4 linked regions of the Drosophila melanogaster genome follow. Changing the gene in region 3 together with the main gene of any one other region gives a genetic interaction. Each region holds a gene or a part of one and is shown on either strand. Other genes may lie near its edges.

What was found.
Region 1: of chic (region 3) and Apc2, changing one suppresses a phenotype caused by changing the other (phenotypic suppression), as found in Drosophila melanogaster (one study listed by BioGRID).
Region 2: of chic (region 3) and CycB, changing one suppresses a phenotype caused by changing the other (phenotypic suppression), as found in Drosophila melanogaster (one study listed by BioGRID).
Region 4: of chic (region 3) and capu, changing one enhances a phenotype caused by changing the other (phenotypic enhancement), as found in Drosophila melanogaster (one study listed by BioGRID).

Annotation. Positions count from the first base shown.
Region 1 is NT_033777.3:24,162,153-24,169,316, forward strand, and holds Apc2 (adenomatous polyposis coli 2), read left to right. Parts: upstream 1-1,813; 5' UTR 1,814-2,021; coding exon 2,022-2,657; intron 2,658-2,720; coding exon 2,721-4,934; intron 4,935-5,131; coding exon 5,132-5,485; 3' UTR 5,486-5,785; coding exon of another isoform or gene 5,786-5,992; 3' UTR 5,993-6,112; downstream 6,113-7,164. Other genes in the region: TBC1d7 (TBC1 domain family member 7), read left to right, coding at 1-239, 300-531, 588-674; mRpS24 (mitochondrial ribosomal protein S24), read right to left, coding at 719-1,008, 1,066-1,255, 1,316-1,333; CG5510 (uncharacterized protein), read right to left, coding at 5,786-5,992, 6,322-6,651, 6,705-6,902, 6,979-7,094, 7,163-7,164.
Region 2 is NT_033778.4:22,802,469-22,808,585, reverse strand, and holds CycB (cyclin B), read left to right. Parts: upstream 1-1,637; 5' UTR 1,638-1,904; coding exon 1,905-1,940; intron 1,941-2,086; exon of another isoform or gene 2,087-2,294; coding exon of another isoform or gene 2,295-2,312; exon of another isoform or gene 2,313-2,500; coding exon 2,501-2,646; intron 2,647-2,710; coding exon 2,711-2,919; intron 2,920-3,021; coding exon 3,022-3,926; intron 3,927-3,995; coding exon 3,996-4,292; 3' UTR 4,293-5,065; downstream 5,066-6,117. UniProt on the Drosophila melanogaster protein: Essential for the control of the cell cycle at the G2/M (mitosis) transition.
Region 3 is NT_033779.5:5,977,781-5,983,259, reverse strand, and holds the start of chic (chickadee), read left to right. Parts: upstream 1-2,241; 5' UTR 2,242-2,307; exon of another isoform or gene 2,308-2,413; intron 2,414-2,778; exon of another isoform or gene 2,779-3,051; intron 3,052-3,158; exon of another isoform or gene 3,159-3,320; intron 3,321-3,555; 5' UTR 3,556-3,737; coding exon 3,738-3,848; intron 3,849-5,479. Other genes in the region: eIF4A (eukaryotic translation initiation factor 4A), read right to left, coding at 24-250, 1,425-1,426. UniProt on the Drosophila melanogaster protein: Binds to actin and affects the structure of the cytoskeleton. At high concentrations, profilin prevents the polymerization of actin, whereas it enhances it at low concentrations. By binding to PIP2, it may inhibit the formation of IP3 and DG.
Region 4 is NT_033779.5:3,899,682-3,904,953, forward strand, and holds the start of capu (cappuccino), read right to left. Parts: upstream 3,180-5,272; 5' UTR 2,914-3,179; intron 1-2,913. UniProt on the Drosophila melanogaster protein: Acts as an actin nucleation factor and promotes assembly of actin filaments together with spir. May play a role in intracellular vesicle transport along actin fibers, providing a novel link between actin cytoskeleton dynamics and intracellular transport.

The sequences.
Region 1 (7,164 bases), on a different chromosome or scaffold from region 3:
ATGTGGCTGATAGAGTCCAATCGACTGTGGCATGGCAATACTAGTGCCAGTCTCCAGGCGGACGACATGCACTTCATAGAGATTGTGCGCACGTTGCTGCAGATATTCGACGACAACGTGGAAACCTACTGGATAGCAAAGGGATTCTACAAGTACACCCGCGAACTGAAGAAGGAGTGCGTCAAGCTGAAGGAGCAAACGCAGAATATACTGAAGCGCGAAGATTTGTCCTTGCTTAAGTGAGTTTGCATATGGTTAGTCGGGTTATTTGACCAATTTTCTTCGATTACTCCTTATAGTCACCTGGAGCTTCTGGGCCTGTTTGATGGCAACTCAACGCTACTGGATAACTGGTATATAACCTGCTTTGCTGGAATAATCTGTACAACTCATTTGGTCAAGATATGGGACAAAGTCTGTGGAGGGTCCCGGAAGATTGTTGTTTTCCTGTTTGTAGAACTAGTTAAGGACATAAGGTCCTCGATACTAAAGCAAACATCTTTAGCAGACGTCAAAAGACTTATAGAAACGGTAAGTAAATAAGGAAACCATTTGCTAAGCCATAACTTATCCAAAATTTGCCTTAGGTAAAGGATCTTGACGGTGTTATTATCGTAAACAAGGCCATCAAATCACTACAAAACAACAGCAGCGAAGTCGAGTACACGCACTAAGTAAATCTACACTTTTATATTGGACATGTATATAGCAGAATGAACTAAATGTATTTGAAGACCACGTCCTTTTTATCGCCCACCGTTTGCAGTTCCAAGGTCACTGGACACTGCATCCAATAGGAGAGCAGCTCCTCCGTGTAACCAATAAGGAAGTACATTTTTCGCGGTGTAATCGCCTGCCGAATAAGGGCCGCGATCCTAATGGTGTTGTGCTGTCGCTTGATAATGACCTCGGAGCAGACGAGGGCATGCCATGTGCCGGTGACAAACTTGCGGATGAACACATCCTCTATGGCGGTCTGGGACGGACGCAGGGCATCCTTCATTGTTGCTAAGATAGAAGGTGGCCATCAAAATGCTTCCTTAATAAAATTTTCTCACAACTTACACGTGTTCCATGAGTTCCACGATTTGCGGTGGCCAATAAAATGCGGCGGATTGGCCATCTCGTAGGTAAGAGGCCTGTTTCGCTTTGTGGTTATGCGGTATCGCCCGGATTGCACGCGACAGCACACGGAGCTGGTGTGGAATCCTGACCGGCTGAGCTGCTGCACCTCGGTCGCCACCTGGGGCAACAGCTGCAATAGATTAGGTTATTTTAATATATAATTTGTCCTGTTTGTTGTTATTTAACACACCTTTTTCAAGAAGTTCATTATTTTGCGGCAGAAACAATTTTGCGTCCAGCAACAGCTGATTGACGTGACGTAACGGTTCGCTAGAGATGGACAAATTTATAGATAAGTATTCGATATTATTATTGTGTAGTGAAAATATTTTCTATAAAATAAAAAACAACATTGAAGGAAGTAGTTAAATAAAAACACAGAAAGATTAATTTTTAGTTGTGTAAATGCCCTTTTTAGTTCTTAAATGCAATACTTGGATCTCTATTGCATTGATTAAAATCGATTTTTATTTTGTTTTAAAGCGGGGCAGAGTTGTCAACAGTTGTCGGTGGGAAAATGTAATAATGTAATGTAATAAAATTATTGCACGCTTATTTAAAATATATAAATAAACAACATTTTGAGAGCTTCCTTAATAAATAGAGTTAACTTTGTATTAATCCCTTTATTCGAAAGAACTTTGACTGATCATTGAACTTGGGCAGAACTAGCTATAAATTAGCTTAATCGGTAGCACTGGAGCGCTGAGCCTGCGCGCTTGGAAAATGGCTTAAACGCAGGCCATCTCAAACAAAGATCGAGGATCTCAGATCAGAAGGAACTACCTGTTGAAGCGACCGTGCAACAGGACTCATCCAGAAGCAAAGCTGCAAAGGTTTATTCCCAGAATCCCTGGTATCCGAATGCACTAATAGGTGAGGATACATTCAAAGTAATGACGCTGAACGAGAGCGACGCTACTCGCCTGGAGCTGACGCGCAACTTCCTGGAACTGTCTCGAAATCCGGAAACATGCACCGCCCTGCGCAGCTCGGACTGTATCCAGCTTCTGGTGCAGATTCTGCACGCCAACGACGAAGGCCTCTCCACGGCGAAAAAGTACGCCAGCCAGGCGCTGCACAACATCGTCCACAATAATCCGGAGGAGAAGGAGCGCCAGCGGGAGGTGAAGATGCTGCGCCTGCTGGACCAGATCCTCGACTACTGTAACTTTCTGCACACCCAGTTGCAGAGCGGCGGTGAGGCTATCGCAGATGATGAAGATCGTCATCCGCTGGCGGCTATGAAGCTCCTGATGAAAGCCAGTTTCGACGAGGAGCACCGCCAGACTATGTGCGAACTGGGAGCCCTCAAGGCGATTCCCAATTTGGTCCACCTTGATCATGCGGTCCATGGACCGGCTGCCGGTAGGGAACAGTGCAACGCCCTCAGGAGCTACGGCCTCATGGCCCTCACGAATCTCACCTTCGGAGACGAGAACGTCCATAACAAATCGTATCTGTGCGGTCAGCGACAGTTCATGGAAGTGGTCATTGCTCAATTGAACACGGCTCCGGATGAACTGCTACAGGTGAGTTTAATCTTGGAGATTAAGAAAAAAAGATCGTAATTTAATTACCGTTGATCTCATCAGGTTCTTGCTGGTGTGCTTCGCAATCTTTCGTGGCGCGCGGACAAACACATGAAGACTATCTTTAACGAGCTGGGTACTGTGACCTCCTTGGCTCGAGCAGCCATGCAAAACAAGAACGAGAACACTCTCAAGGCCATACTTTCAGCCCTTTGGAATCTCTCAGCGCACTGCAGCACCAACAAGGCGGAGTTTTGTGCAGTAGACGGAGCACTGGCATTTTTGGTCGGAATGCTTAGCTACGAGGGTCCGAGTAAAACTCTTAAGATCATCGAAAATGCAGGCGGCATTCTTCGAAATGTATCGAGCCATATTGCGGTGTGTGAGCCGTACCGACAAATCCTAAGACGGTACAATTGCCTTGCCATTCTGTTGCAACAGTTGAAATCGGAGAGCCTAACCGTGGTAAGCAACTCCTGCGGAACTCTGTGGAATCTCTCGGCGCGCTGTCCCGAGGACCAGCAATACCTCATTGACCACAATGCCATCCCGCTCTTGCGGGCCCTAATCAGCTCCAAGAACTCCATGATTGCGGAGGGCAGTGCCTCGGCTTTGAAAAACCTAGTTAATTTCAGGGCCACTCAGGAGCTTATGCCCAATGGAGATGGTGGGTCACTGCCACTAGACAAGGAAGCTGGCCATGGAGGTACGCTGCCACGGAGATTCAGCTCACTGCGCCTAAGCTCAAATCCCACGGGATCGCTTAAGAAAGTGCGACCCTCAACAGTCAGCACAACTGGCTTTCTGAACAGAAAATGTGAGAGCCGAGAGTCCATTTACTCGGGCAAATCCGATTCCACTAAATACTCAACCAAGTCGGAGGGAGCGAAGAATCCCTTCGAAATTGTGACACCCACTGAAGAGCAGCCCATTGACTACTCCATGAAGTACATGGAGCACAAACCCAATAGCAGTAAGACCTTTGAGATCGACTTGGATCAGCCAACGGATTTCAGTGCTAGATATAAGGAGAGACGATCCGCTCAGACGGCACAGCCGGAGCTGAAGTCGGAGACCAATGAGATTAGAAGTAAGGAGTTGCAACTGACAAAGTCCTCCTCGGCCACGGAGCTGCGCAATAGTCCTGGCCTGGTGGCGGTTTCAGCAGCTAAGCAGAAAATTGCCACCGAAACGGAGACGGAAACGGCAGAGCGACCAATAAACTACTGTGAAGAAGGGACTCCCGGCAGCTTCAGTCGCTTCGACTCGCTCAACAGCCTCACAGAGAAACCGGAGAAATGTATGCCGCCAAAAACTCCAACGAAAACTGCGGTTCTCCCGGTGCACGTTGACGGAAATACGCCTCAAAACATCGATTCCGCACTAGAAACTCCATTAATGTTTTCGCGTCGCAGCTCTATGGACTCATTGGTTGGCGACGACGAAACGGTTGCCTGCGAGGACAATGGATCCGTGATCAGTGAATACAGCCGGATGCAGAGTGGTGTTATTTCCCCCTCAGAGCTGCCCGATTCACCCACCCAGAGTATGCCTCAATCTCCGAGAAGGGACAGAAAAGTGTCCACTCAAAATAACTTGGACACACCTGAACAGAAGCCCAGTACTGTGTTTGAGGACAAGTTGAACAGATTCCACGTGGAGCACACGCCTGCTGCCTTCTCCTGCGCCACCAGTCTAAGTAATCTGAGCATGATGGACGACTCTAATGCAAACGCTATTCGAGGACAGCGTGGAAATGACATCAACGGCAATGGGGATGCTCCTCGCAGCTATTGCACAGAGGACACTACTGCCGTGCTTTCCAAAGCGCCAAGCAATAGTGATCTGTCCATTTTGTCCATCCCGAATGATCTAAATGCGAATGAAGCGCAGCCAGTGCCTGCTCCGCGAGCTGATGTTACCGGAATGGACACTCGGATGCCGGCAGAAGATGCAATCTCTAAGATGCGCTGCGGTGGCAATGCATTGCCCAGTTATCTGCCAGTGTCGGATGAAATGAGCAAGTACTATGTCGAGGACAGTCCCTGCACGTTTTCGGTCATCTCGGGACTATCCCATCTCACTGTTGGCTCTGCTAAGGCTGGGCCTGTTCTGAAGCTGCCAATGAGGACTGCAGAAGAGGCTCAGGCACCCAAACTTCCTCCCAGACGTAGTGCCGTTCAAGGAGATGCGGAGCCACGCTTACCGCCGAAGAAAAGCGACTCACTGAGCTCATTGTCCATGGACTCGGATGACGACTGTAATCTTCTAAGTCAGGTGAGAAAAGGATACTTCATTCAAAACACTTGATATATTTCACCATATAAACATTTTGTGAGAGACTCACTCAAAAATAAGTGTCTTTGTAGATTTAGCAATCGGAATGTTGATATTTCACAAAAGTTAAATTTAAAATGCAGTCAGAAAATTCTCGCTAAAATCAGAAATATTAAAGTTGTTCCCTCTTTTTATAGGCCATTGCTGCGGGAAGTTGTCGACCTCAGCCCAGCGGTGCCAGTACCAGCTCCAGCCTGGCGAACGCTAGTACCAGCACTCTATGCAGGGAAAATGGGCAGTCAAAGAAGCAGGTGGAGCATGGCGATAAGCCGAACTACAGCTCAGATGACTCGCTAGACGACGACGACGATGATGCACGGTCCAAGTCGCTATTTGAGCAGTGCATTCTGAGCGGCATGCATAAGTCCAACGACGCCTTGGAGTCGGAGGGTGAGCCGCCGGGGCAGCGCCAGGAGATCAGTGCCCGGGATCGATTTGTCAGTAACCAGGTGCGCCAGATTGAGTCCATGTTGGCTGGGCGTCAGCACTAGAAGCGGATGGTTGGTTAATTGAGAAGCGCATGCATTTGTTTAGTGGCTTTTAATCTTGTCTACGCAATAATATTCTCACGGTCTCAATTTTCCTATAGTTCAGATTAAAAATTTGCACTTAAATTTAACTCTCCAACACGTGTAATATTATGTTTACCCTCTCACTAAACAATTAAGGAAACTAAAAAGGGTGATAAGAAATGGGATACAGTCGCGGTATAAATATAAATAAAAGTTGCGATCAACTGAGGTCCGGGTAACTCCTAACATGATGCTACTGTGATGAACTAGCTAGAGAGCTCAGTAGAAACGTTTTCGCGCGTTGCGATCCTTGAAGTAGGAGATGGCGAAGATGGCCACTGCAGCCGCCACGACAACCACGAAGAGAAGGATGAAGAAGATCTTGGCGTTGGACATTCCCGGCTTGGGATCTTCTTTGTGCTCGCGCGGGGGCTCGAATGTCTTGGCATTCGGTATGATATTGGAGCGCCGGATAATCTCATCGTGCTGCGAACAAGAAAGAAAGTAAAAAGATGGTTATTGCAACAAGAAAGTAAAACTGGTTTTCAGTAATATGATATAAATATTATAACACACGGCTTATAAAGATAAACATGATTAGGCATCAAACAATGTGTTTAAAGCCAGCTGCTTAATTATTACAAGTTGCAGCAATTAAAAACAAGTTCACTCTTTTTTCTTTATACGTATACGCAGTTATTGAAACTTAAGTCCGCTTTTGGGTTCCTTGCACTCCTTATCGCGTTAGCCAAATAGCAGACAGCTGAGTAATGCTTACTTCGCTTCCGAAGTTTGGCAAACAAAAGTGAACTTACATTTACGTTCAAGTCCAGGTCATAGAACTTGAAACTGTGAATATCGTGATTGTCGGACAGATCACCCGTCGTCGCAGACATGCCGAAGTGGTAGCCCGTGGGTAGCTCAACGTTGGCCACTACAAAGCAGTTCTTCCATTCGTTGCGGTTCTCCAGATCTGTGGAAACCGACAGAATGTCGTTTTCGTATCGAATGCTAACCAGCGTCTCGTACTCCACATTGCGGAAACGAACTTCGCAGCCGGCCAGCTGAGTGTGCGTTCCATCGCGATCGTGGTCGTAGCTCCAGCTGCCATTGTTCACCATGGCGCTGAGATATGGATGTTGGTGCTACAAATATAATGTTAATACATTTACATTCAATGCCTTGCGTAATGACATACGTTGTGTGGACCATTGTGATTGCTATAGGTGTCCAGAATGATGGCCAGTCCGGAGAAGTGATCCTTGCTGCCAAAGACCGGCCCGGTTTGCATGCGCTCCTTTGTGTACCAAATGGCAAATCCGTCGCCGAACAGTTCAGTTCCCTTGCCGTGCACCTTAAAGCCAACGTGCACTTCCCAATTGCGAGTCATCACGGGCTTTGGATTAAACATTAAACATCAATAACTATTGAACTGCAAAAAGTCGCTGAGAGAGACCAACTCTCCTGCTTACCGAGTAGTTCCAAAGTGCACCGCTCTTGGACTGTAAGTCCGGCGTCAGTCTTATATAGTTGCTGGTCACCATCGTGTTACCCAGGAAGTCCCAGTGTGGCAGGATCACGCCTACGCCTGCAATAGAGCCCAAGCCATGTTAGAGATACACGTACACTCCGTATCATCAGTGACCAATTACCAACCT
Region 2 (6,117 bases), on a different chromosome or scaffold from region 3:
CATTTTCCAGCGGCGAAAATCGAGGGTGGAAAACTTGGAGCCCGATTTCTCAAAAGGGGAGAGAGAGCCAAATGAAGGCGCGATCGTGTACGGGGCTCCAACTTTTACGGCTGTTAATTCAAATGTTTATGCACTAATTAATTGCCCAGGCATTGCATTACGAGTCATTTGTTGTGGGCCACTTTTTTTTTTTTTTTGCACTCTATCTTATTTATGTTTCGTTTTATTTTAGTGGCTGGTGTACTTTAGTTTGTTGCCTAAGTTCTTCCTTATGGATCGACACTCGAGATAAGACCAAATGGTGCTTGAAAAATGCTATTTTAGCTCCAGCTCCAGTTCTGAATTGCCAATATATTGTACATATAATGCCAGTCTTTTGTCATTTAAACGCACTTGATTTTATTTAAACGCCAGCGCACAATTAAGCAGCCAGCAACAAACACACACGGCATATAGATCATCGGCTCTGGAGCATAACGATCTTCTGGTTTTATGTCCATAGCCGAAAAGCACTTTATATGTATATTTTTTAACTAAAAATCGCTAAATCACGCCGAAATCTGACCGCTTTGGGGCATTTAAAATTTGAAACGATTTACTGGAGGTCAATGCGCGTTGGATCGATCGAAGGACTTTTTTCGTGGCGACGAAAGAGACGGCGACAGAAGCGCAGAAAGAGGCGGCGAGAGCGAGGCAACCACTCGCGACGGCGGCACTTTTGCGAATGAAATGTGAAAATCACGGAAAACTCGAGCTCGCGATCGTCGGCTGGCGCTCCATTCTCGTTCGGCTTTTTGGCCGGAGTTCGCAAAAGTACTTTTGGAGCGCAAACAGACTCATAAATATATGCTAATGAGCCAGAGCGCCGGAAGAAGAGAAGAAGAATGCGCCAACCGTTAAGACGCAGCAAAGGGCCACAAAAAAAAAACAGGAGAGTTTGGGGTACTAAACAAAAACAGAGGCAAAATTCTGAGGCGATGGCGATTGTTTTGTGGTCAAGTGCTTGAAAATGATGGAGCAGACGAAAACTTGACACTGATCATCAGCAAAAAAGGCTGCGGAGTGGCAAGAATTATGCTGCATTTCCGCCGCGGAGTTTCGATGTTCTGCGGCCTGTGGCAGCAGGAAATCTTAAATCAGCGAATGCAAATCAGGGGGGCACAAAAACAAACCGAACACAGCCAATTGAAGTGATCAACTTTTAATTGATGCAATCAATGGATGGTGCAACCGAGTGACGACTGGCAGTCAAAGCGATGGCTTTATTAAAATGGGGAACCTTAACCAACTATCAAATTTAATCCATGAAGTTTTCATTTTTAAAATATGTATAAAATGGATTGAGCTTGAATATCTAACAGAAATTTCAAACTGTAACGTTTTCTTTTTCGGCTAATTTTAAATTTAAATTTGAAATTTATGGGTAGCACTGTTTCAGCCCTGTCATCGATAAGCTGTGCACCAGTACTGGTCACACTAAAACTATCGAAAATTATCGCACGTATCGCATCTCTATTTTGCATGCTCTGCTCTAATAAATCGATTATTCTCGAGCGCCACTGCGGCTTAAAAGGGAACTAAGTCCAGAAATCGATATCGTCAAACTCATCGGCATTTATCATCGAGTTTACTTCCATCCCCATTCCCATTTTCAAATTCAAACGGCAGCTTGGCCTCGCTTCGTGTGCAAAAACTCGATCAGGTTTTCGGAGAATTGACAATCCCGCACTCGACTTGTAAATTATAAACTATTAGTAATCATATATTCGGACAACAAATTCAACAGCTAAACAAGCGTTCGGTCACAGAAACGCGATCAAAAGTCAACCAAACCAAGTGATAGCCAAGCGTCTGCCTATCTTCGTGTTAATTGTGTTTGTACAGATAGAAAAGAAGCAATCAAAATGGTGGGCACAACACTGAAAATGCGTGGCGATGAGGTGAGTTGATCCCTAGAACATTAAGATTACCGTGGCATCCGCGAAAAGGTCATGGTAAAGTCACAAACTAGTGGGCTCGTCATCAGCGAGACGCCATTGCAGCGTGGTCATGTAGAGAGGGGCAAAGAGGACGCTGCGATAGTGCGATGAGTGTGTGAAGGGAGGGGGAAAAGAAAGAGTGCCGTTTGTCCCGGGCGCTCATTGTTGTCGTTGTTGCAGTTGCCTTGCTCACATTTTGGCGCAATTTTCTACCGGCGGTGCTTGCACCGTTAATTAGTACTCTCCACACCTATTTTTCGCACCAAATCACAGAGGAGATAAATCGAGGATCAGTCTTGCGGTGCTTTTCCCAAAATGGCCGCCCTTGAAAAGGTGCATTTCATGATCAAGTCATTATTATGCAACAAACTGATCTTGCTTTAACAATTTAAAATAATTAAAATCAGTGCTCAATAATTAAAGATGTTAAAGAATAGGGTTCAAAGTGCAGATATGCATTCAACTATACTTGTTGCACTTCTCCATTTGTTTTCTAAAACTAATTAAACAATATTCGATAGAACGCTTCGGAGAACTTCAAGCAAGTGCAATTGAAGAAATTGACGGTTCCTTCCATGGAGGCAACAACAAAACGCGCGGCCTTGGGCGATTTGCAGAATCGCGGCATAAGTCGTCCCATCGCAGCGAAGGATGCGGCACAGAAAGAGTAAGTGTTTGAACCAGTATCAAGTATTCCATTCGCAATCACATGTGGTTACTCCACCGAGCAGCTCCAAGGATCTCAAGCTCACAGACGCCCTGCGCAATGCCAAAGCTCGGGTGGACAGCCACTGGAAGAAACAGCCACTGGGCAGCACCAATGGCAATGGCAATGGCGCCGTTCCGCCCAAGGTCAACGAGGGGGGCGTGTCGGCGTTTTTGCGTTCGAATTCGGTGCGCAATCGCGTTCCGACCAAGACCACTGTAGAACCCACTAAAGGTAAGCAAAAGAGCAATCATCTACCAATCATCATCATCTACCATTTCCAATTTTTGAATGGCTTGCATCATACTGACCCCAATTCATCTTGAATCCCCAAAGTTACAGTCAAGTCCAGTTCTTCCGAGAACGTGAACGAGCCCACCTTAAAGCGCGAGGACAGCAATCTGTCGAAGAAGTCGCTGACCAAACTGCGTGCCGCTTTGGCCAAACCCGTGATGGGAGTTTCAGGAATTCGACGGGAACCAGTAGCTGTTTCCCGCAAAGAGGCAGAGACCAAGAAGGAACTGCCAGAAACCAAGAAGGACTCACTGGAAGTGAAAAAGGATGCGACCAGGATGCCCCTTATTAGGGGCAACAGTGCAGTCACTACGACCACATCTACGATGCCCACCACCATGTCCCTTTCCAGCAAGCGCTTGGCTGGAATCGAGGACATTGATGCCAATGACAAGGAGAACCTGGTACTGGTCTCCGAATATGTAAACGACATCTACGACTACTTGTATCAGGTGGAGCTGGAGCAGCCCATTCACAAGGATCACCTGGCCGGACAGAAGGAGGTGTCCCACAAGATGCGAGCCGTGCTGATCGATTGGATCAACGAAGTCCACCTGCAGTTCCATCTGGCTGCAGAGACCTTCCAGCTGGCGGTGGCTATCATTGATCGCTACCTGCAGGTGGTCAAGGACACCAAACGCACGTACTTGCAATTGGTGGGAGTGACAGCACTCTTCATAGCCACCAAGTACGAGGAGCTGTTCCCGCCGGCAATCGGAGATTTCGTCTTCATCACGGACGACACCTACACTGCCCGGCAGATCCGACAGATGGAGCTGCAAATCTTCAAGGCCATCGACTGTAATCTGTCGCGTCCGCTGCCGATTCACTTCCTTCGACGCTACTCGAAGGCTGCTGGCGCCGAGGACGAGCACCATACGATGTCCAAGTACTTCATCGAGTTAGCTTCCGTGGACTACGAAATGGCCACTTACAGGCCATCGGAGGTGGGTTTCAATACACTATCCCCTTTTATTTAGCATAGGTATATGTAATATTTTTTGCGGCGCCTTTAGATTGCAGCTGCCTCACTGTTCCTGTCGCTGCACTTGCTCAATGGAAACCACCGGGCCGGTACAGGATTCAACGACCGTCACTGGACGCCCACTCTGACCTTCTACTCGCGATACTCGGCCGCGCACTTGCGTCCGATTACCCGGCTGATCGCGAAACTGGCCCGGGACGCTCCTCAGGCCAAGCTGAAGGCCATCTACAACAAGTACCAGGGCAGCAAGTTCCAGAAGATCGCGCTGCGAACGGAGCTGACCGGTGCGCTGATGGACTCGATTGTGGGCCAGAGCCAGAGGAAATAGTGCGGTCCAAGGCGGACTGGAAGACCCTGACTTACCTAGTTTAGTTTAATTTGTTTTCATTTTTAAATTTGTAGCGTATTTCATTTTCTGTTCGTTTCGTGTTCGTTAAAAAATGCGTATAGTTACCGTAGTCGCATTGCCAACTATCTTTACCTGCATCACCCATCCCTAAGATATCGTAATCTGCTGGAGTCCCTTGAGCAGTTTTCGGCTACTGCCAAGAGCTGGCTCCGGCATCTTTGCCCACGGAGCACAAGTTGCTCGCGAGCCGGCCGCTGGGAGTGAGTTCCTCCGGTAAGACTAGGAACCGAACTAAACTGGAGCCCGTCAGCTCCTTTCGCTGGGTCACCATCTCAGTGGGAGCGAGCGGCGGAGCGGTGGACACCGAGAGAGAGAGTGGGCAACGAGTTCATTTGCTGGCCGAACACATCGGCGTTGTCTCTCCAAGAATTATATTTTATAATTGTACCCGTGAAATCATTTCATCCCCTACCTACCTATCACTAATTGTATTTGTCGTTAGTTTTTAGTTTCGATGGGAATGAATAAATCCAAAAAATTGTGCAAAATTATTCCCATAAATCGCATAAAAAAGAGACGTAGACTATTTGTAATTTATATCATGTATTTCGCACATTCATACAAAAACAACTTATGCTAGTTATATTGTTTACCACTAAGCAACGATTAAAACACGTTTTAACTAACTGATGTTTCCCAAAAATGTCTCTGAACAATACATAGAAAATAAAGTTTTGTATAATTTTATAAACAATATTCGTGTTTACCTTGCATGCAATGTGCCGCCATGTGACTTCATTAGTTTTGAAATCTTTCCGACAGCTGATAAGTGTGAGAAATTTTCCACACCCCTAAAAAAACCAGACAGCCTGAGATGAACGCAGACCCTTTTCCAAGGACGGAGGTCCTTTTGTCCTGCATTCTTATCAATCCTGAATACACAATATATGTACAGTGATATACCTCTGTATACCCTGCACCTATGTACATACATACAAACATATGTATAGTCGGCGCCCCTGGGGAAGGTCACCTTCCCGATCGCAGGTCAGTTACTTCTCTTCCGCTTCTCCCTTTCCTTCTTCCCTTTTTAACGCTTTTCTCTCCCTTTTTTTGGTACCGTGTTCCATGGGCAACGGTAATTGCCGAGCACATTGCTCGCACATGGTTGTGCGTGTGTGTGTGTGGGTGTCTATCTCACTTTTCTCATGTACAGTAGTTACTCGATACAAAGCCAAATAAAGGCAACCTTATAGTTAAGTTCTTAAGAAACATATAAGCGAATTATCGAACGAATATTTCAAATAGTTTTCGTTAGTAGCAATTAATGCATTAGGTAAAAAGTTTGAGTTTCAACATTTGTTCGCCTTATAGAGCGCCCACTGTACACGGCCTGCTGACTTTGCTGTGCGCCTGTTCGAAATTTAAGTTTGACGGTTTTATGACTCTCATTAATTCTTGTTTACGGTCAAACAAATGTAGTAAAAAGAAAGTCATTTTTCTCGGCACCTCCGCTGCTCCTCCCTTTTGGCATATTTTATGTTGGCTGCCAGTGGCAATCGGCGTCATAAAAACTCCATGCCGTATAAATCGGGCTTACAGTTTTTGGGTCTTGGTACCCTCTGTTTCTTCTTCTCTTTTTGGAAACTTCTTGCTCTCGCTTCTGGCTTGCTGTTACCGAAATATGCACAGCATGAACCACTCCGAACCACCGGGTTCGAGTTCCTTTCTGAATCCTGCGCCTTGGAGCAGACAGGCGGTCGTTCAGGTAGTTCAAGGGGTGGCTAATTCGCACGGGGGTCAA
Region 3 (5,479 bases):
GGGACTCGGAGCCATTTACTCACCCGACTGGGCCTGGGCAATGACATCGCGACCCCTCACACAGGGAATGATGGCGCGCTGCTGGATGGCCGACGGCTTCTCGAAACCATAACCGTAGATGCCGCGCAGCAACTCCTCGCGCAAGTTCATGTCATCGAAGTTGTCGTACACCTCGTGCCAGGTGGACTCGATGACGCCCTCGGGTTCCATGCTGGCGGGGCCATCCTGAGGTATCTCATTTCGGTCATCCCTGCAAGAAAGCGAGAATGCGTTAGTGGGGCGGAACAGTGGAAACAACAACAAAAGCAGTAGCGGGACGGGGGTAAAAAATTTTCCAGCCACAATTGTTGGTTATGGCGAATGGCAGAAAAGCGAAAAGTAAGTAAGGCTGGTGGAGGGAGAATCGAAAACCGCGAGCGCCGCTTGGCAACCACTCACATTATCAACAATAAAGAATTGACTAGGTAAACTTATATCCTGAATTTCGACGGCTTGGGCCCGGTTCACTCAATCAACTGTTTGCCTATTTGTCTAGAACGAATAACGGAGAATTCGGGCCGAACGCCGACTGTGTTGTTTTCTCGAGCTATCGAGCGCTTTGCTTTTAGTCCGTTACGTTTGTGCTGCGATGCGCTCTGCGAAGCGGTGACTTTACGTATGAGACCGAAAGCGATAGCTAGGCAGCCTTTTTGAGCGACAAGCGGCGAGAGTCCGCCCCTGAGCGTGTGCGAGCGGGACGACCCTAGTGTCGTTCGTGTCAATGTCAACGGGCGAGAGCAGCCGAGCGATATTAGCACGTAACAGTGGCGCCAGTGTTGCCTAACACCAGTTGCGAATGGTAGTAGTTGATCGAAAATAGCAGTAGTTTTGACAGTACGGCGGGGTGGGGATAGAAAAAAAAAACCGACTGACAGGCAAATATTCCAAAGCAAATCGAAAATTGAGTTGGAGCAAGGCTAAATCAGCCCACGAATGCCGTCGTCCACTAAAGATAGAATCAGCGGTCTGCGTCATTGTCCAGTCATGAGTCAAGCGAACGGACGGACGAGAGTGCATAAAATCCAGTCAAGTGGCGACACCGACGTCACCGGACTTCAACAAAAGTCCCCAGTTCGGAGTTCTAGGTTTCGCCAAGGCGAAGGGGGAGGGGTGCAAAGACCGAGTCCAGCAACAAAACTCTCTTGGAGCAACCACTGCGCTCGCTCTCTCTCGCTCGCATGGTGGCTGCCTCTCACTCCCACTCCCTGCACTGTCATACGGGCGTGTAATTTTTTTCCACTCATTTTGACCGTCAGAAATTTAAAATCGCGTTTTTTGCATTAAAACACGCGGAAATTATGCTAAGCAGTTGCGGAATCGATGCGGCACAAGATCGCCTTGCGGCTTTTTACATTTCAAACGCTTAATCTAGGGTATATACTAACATTTTCTGAAAATTATTTGGCACTTTTTATACACGTGCTGCTACTGATTTGTTAAAACCAAGCAAAAGAGGCTCCATCTTGCAAAAGTTTTAGTGATGTAAGAAAACATTAGCGACTATCGATAGATCGATCGCCAACTATCGCCAGATGTTAGCGGATATCCGGCAATTTCGCTGCGGCTTCGCAGTGTGTATGGTAAAGAAAAACAAAGCATAAAATAATGCAAATATTTTGAATTCAATTTGTATTATTTTGCACTTTTTTACGTTATTTTGGAGGTGCCACTTGAAGTTCAGGGCTGCAGACCCAGAGCTGGGGTGCCTGACTTCGCTATTTTATTTGCTATCGATATTACGCCCATCAAAGTTTTCCACCAGTATAAATATTTAAACCCGAATCTTATATTTGTTTAATAAATTTGATTGTAATATTGTTTTCCAACAGATTACATTCTCTTGTTGTAAAGACTTAATTGTAGTATTCAACCATTTGAACAACAACCTTATGTGAATCATATTATACAAATATATGAAAGTATGGAATTTTACATATGCTGCTATTCAGTGAACTGTTTTTAAATCGTGGGACTGGAACCGGCCAGCTATTTGTCTTAGTAGCTTAACGATCAGTGTTGTTTTGAATCTTTTTGAGTTTAAGTACAGTAATCTTATCTCATAGTACTCGAATGTGGAAGTGAATTTAAACTTTTCATGCCGCTGGTCTAACCGGGACTTACGAAGGCAAATAGCGAATACAATCGATTGCGAGGAATATCGTGATCGAATTTTGGCACACATCGATTGTTTCGAGCGAACAGCGACTTGTGTTCCAGTACTACCGCTTGTCGACGGTCACTCTGAATTTTTACCGCAGCGTGTGAACAGTGTGAGTGCCGTGGGTTTCCTGGAAATCCGTTTAGAAAGAGATTTCTCTAGACTTACTGAACGTGGGGTGGTTCGACAAAAATCGAAAACCGACCAACACTTTGGGTAAATTGCGTACAAAGCGACTTTCGTGCTGGGTGCACGCCTTAAATGGCGAAAACCCACACATGTACGCGCTACTTGGCCAACCGCGTTGGCTGTGCGTCGCCGTCTGCGGGTGTGTGTGTGTGTATGCCTGTGTGTATAAGTGTGCAAAAAATTAAGTGGGAAAAGTTCAGCAGCAGCCGGTCGGTATTCGGCATACGGCATTCGGTACTCGGTATTCCATTCGATTTGTCAAGCAGCCAATGCTAACATATTGCGGGTGCGGTGCAGCGCAGCACATTATGATATGTGAGATGGGATTCGAACATATAGGCGTTGAAATTAAAGGCTATTTTTAATTTATGACAGTTACTCAGTGCCGGCCAACAAAGTGACGATTCATAACACTCACTCGGAGAGCCGCCGTTGAGTCATCGTCTGCTCTCACTCGCTCATTTGCATTGTCCGCAGCCGGCTGATTAATAACGGCCCGCCTCGTACGACCGTCTCGCTCACACACCCACTCCAGGCGCACCGTTGCACTCGCCCTGGCTACGGCTCTCGCTCGCTCACTCTCTGCCCCACTCGAAAGCAGTGGCAGTGGGTGAGTGAACGGGTGACTCACGGCTTGGAATTGAGCGCTTTGGAGCAGAGGCAAGGCAAGCAGCCCCCTGCAGCGCGCACTCTTTCGCCACTCTCTCTCCATCTCTCACTCTCTCGAGTGGGTTTTCTCGAATTCAAAATCGGTTTATGGTTCTGCTTTGCGCTCATTCGACTTTTGAAATCCGCCTCGAACGCTTCGAAAATTCCCAGCGAGTCGGACGTGTGTGTGGAGCTGCGGCGTACGGTTTCTGTTTCTGTCTGTCTTGGTCTCCTTGGTCTTGCTCTTGCTCTTGGTCTCATCCCCCGTGCGTGTGTGTGTATATATGTGAGTTTTTCGGAGGCGGAAAATTAGGCGCTTTGTGCAATGCATCACAATCAAAATCACTAGATATATATACTTATATGTATATACATAAATGTGCATAACACAATTCCGCCGATACCCGGTAATTTGTCAAGGGCGGATGCAACACCCACTGCCGCATGATAAAATACGATACGATTTGATAAATGTTAATCCATCTCTCTCTCTCTCTCTCTTTCTCCACCTCTCGTTGCAGTTGAAAGTAAGTTACCCCAAGAAAAAATCGTCGGTGTTGCGGTTTTTCTTTGTCTCCCTGCCAATTTCGTGTGACCCCCGAAACGAAAGTGCGACTCGCCGTGCGGTAAAGCAACAGCGATCCATATCCAGATCCATATATATCAGTTCAACTTAATCCGCACCCACGACAAACAAAGCACCATGAGCTGGCAAGATTATGTGGACAACCAACTCCTGGCCTCGCAGTGCGTGACCAAGGCGTGCATCGCCGGCCACGACGGCAACATTTGGGCGCAGTCCAGTGGCTTTGAGGTGAGTACGTCGAACGGAATGGACTAATGGACGGAAAGCGGTTGGGAAAACCCATAGAATGGAATTCGGACGGAAAAACGGATAGTTGACAATGAATTTTCGCAAGTTCAAGGGTGTGACTCTCGCGCTGTCTTCCTCTCGCGGCCGCCATGATAACTTTCATTTGATAAAGAGCAACTCCCACCCCTTCGCCCTCGCCCTTGTCAGTTTCACCCCCTGCAGCGCCACTCCTGCGCAGGCCCGCTACCCCCTCCTCTCCCGCCTACGCTTTTGAGGGAGTGTGCGTGATCATACAACCCAGCAGGGAGACCAATTGGGCGACCTAGCCGATACGGATGGATTTCTGTTTATCGGTGACTAAGGAGGTGCAGCTTCGCTTCGCGGTAATCACCAATGCACTTGCATGCGGCGATGAGTGTGTGGTGTGGAGAGCGGGGGCGGGGCCGGGACCGGGAAATCTGATATCAGCGCAGCCGGTTCGAATGTCTGCGGTGCTGTGCAACACTGGTTCCTGATAATGCAGCCCACAGGCGCCTGGCATCAGCCCCACCCCTTCGCTATCGCTCGCCTTTATCGCACTCAATACAGACGGACCGTTTCCTCTGCGGCGACGGCCAAAATAAATGCTCTTTATCGGAGCGAAATACAGAACCAAACAGAACAGAACCAAAATGAAACGAACAGAAGTACAGAAAATATCTTGAGCATGCGATGCCGCGTCACCAGCGCAGAGTGAATCGAATTGAGTGGAGTTGACTCCGCTTCGGCTTCTTTTACTGATTTCGATTCTGAATCTGAATCTGCTACCTTCGAATGCGAATGCTCTGAGTATTTCTCGTATGCGCGCCACGTTTTCGCCCTTTTGTGAGTGTGGCTGTCTGTGTGCGTGTGCAACTTCCTGTCGACTCCGAATCCGAATACAAATACGAATCCATGTGCTCTTATCCTGCTCGCTCTCCCAGCGAGATTCCACTCGATTCGGGCAGCCACTCCCTAGTGCTTTGTCCGTCGAATGAAGTTCATCTCGCCGCTTATTAGATTAGGAACCGATTTTGGCCAAATTCGATCCGCTGCCTACGTCACCTCACCATCACACTCATTCTTTTATCTACCTGCCATTTCTGCACGCGCATCACTTTCGTTTTATTATCTCTCGCTGCCTTCGCAGGTGCCTTTGTTGTTTTTCCCAACTTCGCATTACCCAAGTTACCCAGTTTTGATCTTGATTCGGATGAATCATTGTGAATACTTAGCTTTTTCCTTTTCCGATTGATCAGCTGAGCTGGACCTTGTGAGAGAGTTGTGTTTTTGGGCTGCTAATAAAAGTTTATGATAAACACATTTATATACATGGCTTTGCATTGAGAAAACCGACTTTGGGTGACAGAATCTGAGTGCCATCGTGTGGCATGTTCATTCATTGAAAAACTACCAATTTAGGAGATTTTTGGCACTTGTGGAATTTTCGCTATCGCCGCATAATGAGCTCCGCTTAGTTATTAACGTTTTTGGCATAGCTGTCTACGCAAAACCGGCTTTTCGCGACTTTACTGCTCTTCTGCTCTGCTCTCCTCTTCGCATTTCTTTCTCTCACGCGACGCGAGTTGCGCTCAATGGAAACTTCTCGATGC
Region 4 (5,272 bases), 2.1 Mb from region 3:
TAAGCCGCATAATGGTCAAAAGTGTGATATTTTCTGGATTGCTATCGCGATTCATATAGCAGTGACACCTCACCGACACAGGGACTCACCCACACCGATACCTTCGCACACACACACACACACACACACACACAAACGCGCCGAGGGAAAGACAGAGACAGATAGACAGTTGGGGAACATTCGCATCGGACACCGTTTGCAGAGCTGCAACTTTAATTGCTTTGGTGGTTTGTGCCAAATTAGATTCTGCGGTTTTGTCGCGTCGCCATTCCGGTAATCGAGGGTGTACTGTACAACGGGGGTCAGAGTGTGATGGGCAAAGTGGGGTATGCGGGATGGTGTCTTGGCCATGGCCTTTTCCCCAAACTCCGTCGAGCTGAAGCCAAAAGCTGACGCTGACGCCCATCAATTAAACTTGTCAATGAGAATGCGATGCAACAGCAGGAACAGCAGAAATAGCGACAAGAACCCGGGGAATAAGAACTAATGGTGACGGTATGGGGGACTTGGAGCTTAGAACAAGGGTTATTGAAGGGAGCTCGAAACCAAACTAAATCGACTGAAAGTTAACTACATTTCACCCGCTTCGCTGGCATTCAAATTAGGTTTCTGTTCGAGACGTGTATATTGGTAATTTGATTGGAGTTTTAGAAATTGAATTCTAGCATGTTTCAAGAAATAATTATCGGCGATGCCACGGAAATCCACGGAACTCTGTATATGAGTTGTGCCAAGAAGAAATGTTTAAATTGTTTTTGTTTATAAAAACTTCTTCTTAAAGGTCACTTGAATATTTAAATTTGCCACAGGCACCTGAAAATACTTCCAAATGCAATCAGCATGGTCCCAGGTATAAGTGGCTTTACATACGCAAGTCGTGCAAATATTATTCCACTTTCCGTTGAATTTGGAATATTTGCAAAAGAATCTAAGGAAAAATGCCTGGCGTCTTTCGAAATTTCCATTTCTCGAAAGCCGCCGGCCATTGACATGACTCTGCGGACTTATCCTGTTGTTCGGTCCTGTCGTTATGGACTCTGTCCTATCTACTATCTTAACAATTGTGCGCACCAAGAAATTGATTTATTTTTGTTTACGCCAAAACAGCAAAAAGTTTACCACATTTTCTGCTCCTTCTCTCCAACTTGCCGTTGGCCAAGTTTTAGTTGGCTTATTGCGTTTGCACTGAAAATCAGAAGTATGTTTCTCAGGATTATTCAATATTTTTCTAACAACTACTTGGCATTTAATTTCTGATATTCCCACGAGCTAAGTAGAATTTTTATTTAATACCTTTAAAGAAGTATATTTAATAGTACAAATTAGACCTAATTATCTTCTCTCTGTGCAGTGCTTTGTTATCCGCTGCTTGGGAACAGTCGGTCTAATCCTAATGCTCCCTAATTACATTGGCCAGCAAGTCAACACAGTCTAGGCCAAGTTTCCCCGCTGCCTATTTGAGTTGGTCATGTCGCTATCTGCTTTCCAGCCCTCTTATCATTTTTTAGACCCATCTTAAAGACACTCCTAATTATTGGCCCTCTGGCGCACAATGCGGCCAGTGAACTGGCTGTTCTGGATTTCTTTTTTTTTTGCCGTTGAGCCCTGTTTATGTGGTTCGACGACACCTGGCGACATCAATTAGGGGGCAGGAATGAGCTCTTCGAAATGGAAAATCGTGGGAAAGTGGCGCCTCATACTGGCCGACAAATGTCAAGATGGCTGCAAATCTCTTTTGCTCTGAAAATCTGAGGTGTTGATAAAGGTGCGATTGAAAAGTTTGATCAATGATACTATTTAAGATTGAAAAGGGTTTCTCGTTATATATTTAGGAAGCAATTTTTCACACTTATTTTTATTTAGTTTTTAATCTCTTACAGTGCCTGCATAATTTGTATGCTTTTTATGCGCAAACATACAGCGCCGCAGCTTAACAAGCATTTTTTTATTTATTTCCCTCATATAAAGAATAATTTTTTTTCCTTCTTCCGCACTGTGGAAATTTATGAAGGGCCCTCGAAATGGCCTACGACCTCTATTCTGCCCCCAAACACATTCCCCAACCCCCGTCAGGTTGCAGCTGGGGGGTGAAAAAAAAAAACGTGGAAAACATCAGACGAGCAAAATGGCGAGCAATAAAAATAATTGCAAAATTCGAGATTCAGGTGGGGGCATGCGGCACGCTTAAAGTGGCACCTCTCTTAGCCACGCCCCCAAGTTTCCAAACCTCTCGCCCCTATTCCACACTTGGCAAACAATGGTGAACAGTGAAACAAAATGTTCATTGCAGTGTAAAATCTGCGAATCGCGGTTTTCTTTTTTTTCACTTTTCCCTCGGTTTGTGTGTGTTTTCGCGTTTTACAATCTGTTTCGCAACTCACGTAAAATATAAGGTAATTTGTGGAAATTTGATGTTTATCGTAAATTGTTTTTTATTTGCACAATGTCACCATTTTGCGGTTTGCCAGCAGCGCAAACTCACACACACACGCAGACTGACAAGCAACACACACACAGGCACGCATTGGTGGTCAGAGTTGCCAAGCAGTCAAAAAATAAAATTCCACAAAAATTGAGTTTTAAAGTTGCGAAATAATTGAATACACTTTTTAAAATCAAAACAAAAATCTGTTAAGTGCAATGATTGTTAAAAATACTAGTGTTGTGCCTAAGTTGTAGTAATTAAAAATAATATATATGAAGATTATTAATTATATATTATACATATATACTGGTCTTTAAATCTGATAAATCATTAATGGTCATTGTTGTTTAATGCTCAGATAGGCAAAATATATTCAGTTTCTGTAAGAATATCTGACAGTCGATCTACATTTTTCCACCTTAATTGTGCGCACCGCAAAAAGAGCATAGATAGATGGTAAAAACAATTGCAAACATTTTTCAATTTACCTGCATGGCGGAGAGGACTTTCCTCCTTTTGTTGTTTACTCCATTTTTTATTGCGTTTTTCTGTGGGCCCAATATTTTGGGCTTAATTGTGGCACGAATACCCCATTGCAGAAGGGCTAACAATGTGATGGCTATGACCATCATAGCCGGATAGAGCTCTTCCATTGGATACACAATCATCTTACCAAAACGATATACAACAAAAAAAAGGAAACGAAAAATTACACAAATTTTGACAGAATTTTGTATGCCTAACCCAATTGAACGGTGTAGACGAACTGCTTGTTTTAAATTTCATTTTATTTACTTTATAATTATCGTATATTCTGATTTACATTGTATAATATATCGTATATCATTACTGTCTAGGTTTACAATTAAAATTAGTTTAAACTTTTGGTTTCGCACTAAAAAGGTCAGTAAAATGTTTCAATCGCCTGGCGTGAACATTTCTGTTCTCTCGGTTCTTTTTTTTTTTAAAAGCAGATTTAATAGTTTACATTTAGTTTGAGTAAAAATTATAGAACGAAAATGGACAGTTTAATATAGTCGCAGACTTAGACTAAAGTTATTGGCTATTTTGATCATATTTGGTTTTGGATTACCAGTACATCTTTGTTTATATCTAGGTGGATACTTGAAAAATGCGTGGGTGGTCTGAGTTTGTTCGGGGACTAAATAAAACTCCTTAACTATTTTTAAAACTATTTTTTTATTATACATAGTTAAAAGTAAGATCATTAATTAAATAAGAAATACCATTTATAGATGTATCTTACTCAACGCCACAGTAACCCATTCATAAAAATGCAGATATTATTCACTATTCTAATAAATATTTTCGATTATGTTTTAAACACATTTATTTCAAATTAAATTTCTAAACTCTTTGGTTTACTCTGTTTATCTATTTACAATGTCCTTAAATCTTTAATATCCATTAAATAGTTTTTATCGCTAAGAGAAATTTATGTAACCTTCATTCAAAAACGAAATTATTTTATTTTACTAAATTCCTTGCTTCCGCTTGCAATTATTCAAATAAAATACTGATACATTTTTCATTTTTAATGCTCACATATTACGTTTTTATTTTGTTTGTTAAAAGTATCAATTATGTGGATTTATTACTCAAATATTTCATAACAGAGCTAAACAAGTATTGGATTAAAGATAATTCCCCCTTCTTTTATACTTTGCTGTGCAATTAAATATTTTGTGTATTTTTACAATATCACTGAGTGCTCAAGGGTTTTACTAACAATCGAAAGCAAGCAAAGAATTCTGTACAACTGATTGTTTTTACAACCCATTTCGATTTTATAATTTTAGAGCGAAAAAAGAAAGCAAAAAGGAATTTGTATCATTTTTGTTTCATCCGCAAGTTGGGAGAAAGTTTTGCTATAGTTGGCTGATGATTTTTCGGTAATCACCTTTCACAAATGAAGGTGAAAAGTAAATAAAAGTATTTGTATTGAACTTTTCACCCAGTTGTAGTTTACAAAATCGGTTTTAAGCTTCCCGCAGTTTAAAATTTAATTCGAATTCGTTTTGATGTCTGTTGATTATTCCATTTGCCGGCTATTATGATTTTATTTTAAAGATTTTCTCTTTTTGCTAAAAGATACTGTTTCTATTTGAATTTCCATATTTTTGCGGTCTTGTATGACGCTGTGTAGATATTTTTTTTGTTAGCCTATTTTTATGTAAATGCAACTCACTTGGACTTTTGACTGGCAGTACTAAATTTTCAAGTTTTTTTTTTAGCAGTTGCAATTTAATGACTCCATGTTCTACTATTTACAGATTGCACAGTAAATAAATTGATATTGTGTGCTCTGATTTTGCCGAGCTGAATTGCACGGAGCTCTTTGTGCAATGGCAAATTAATTTGCAAATTTACACAATCTAATTTTAGGTCACCGAGGGACCCAGACGACCAATTGTTAATTTGTAATTACAATTTTTGCATTATTATTGCTTGCCGACAATGCGAACAATTGAAATTAGCAGCGCAATTAGTCGAACCGAGCAAACAAATATTCGTTCCAATTTAATGCCCCAATGGAGACAAAAGCTAATGAGGAGTCGAAAAACTTTTGCCAACCTTTCCCCTTTTTCGCATTGTGTCGAAGTTTGATTTTTATTGGTCATGTTTATTTTGCATTTTGGGCTGACTGGGCGGAAAAGCAATTAAATGAACATTTTGTCTCTTTTATTTGATTTAAACGAGAACAATTTCCATATTTAAAAAAAAAAATGCATAGAAACCTCAAAGGTGGCTTTTGTGTTTGGCTGTCGGTTTAACAATGATTTGACCAGAATATTATGGCGGTAGTTTTGCAGTTTGTCGCCATGA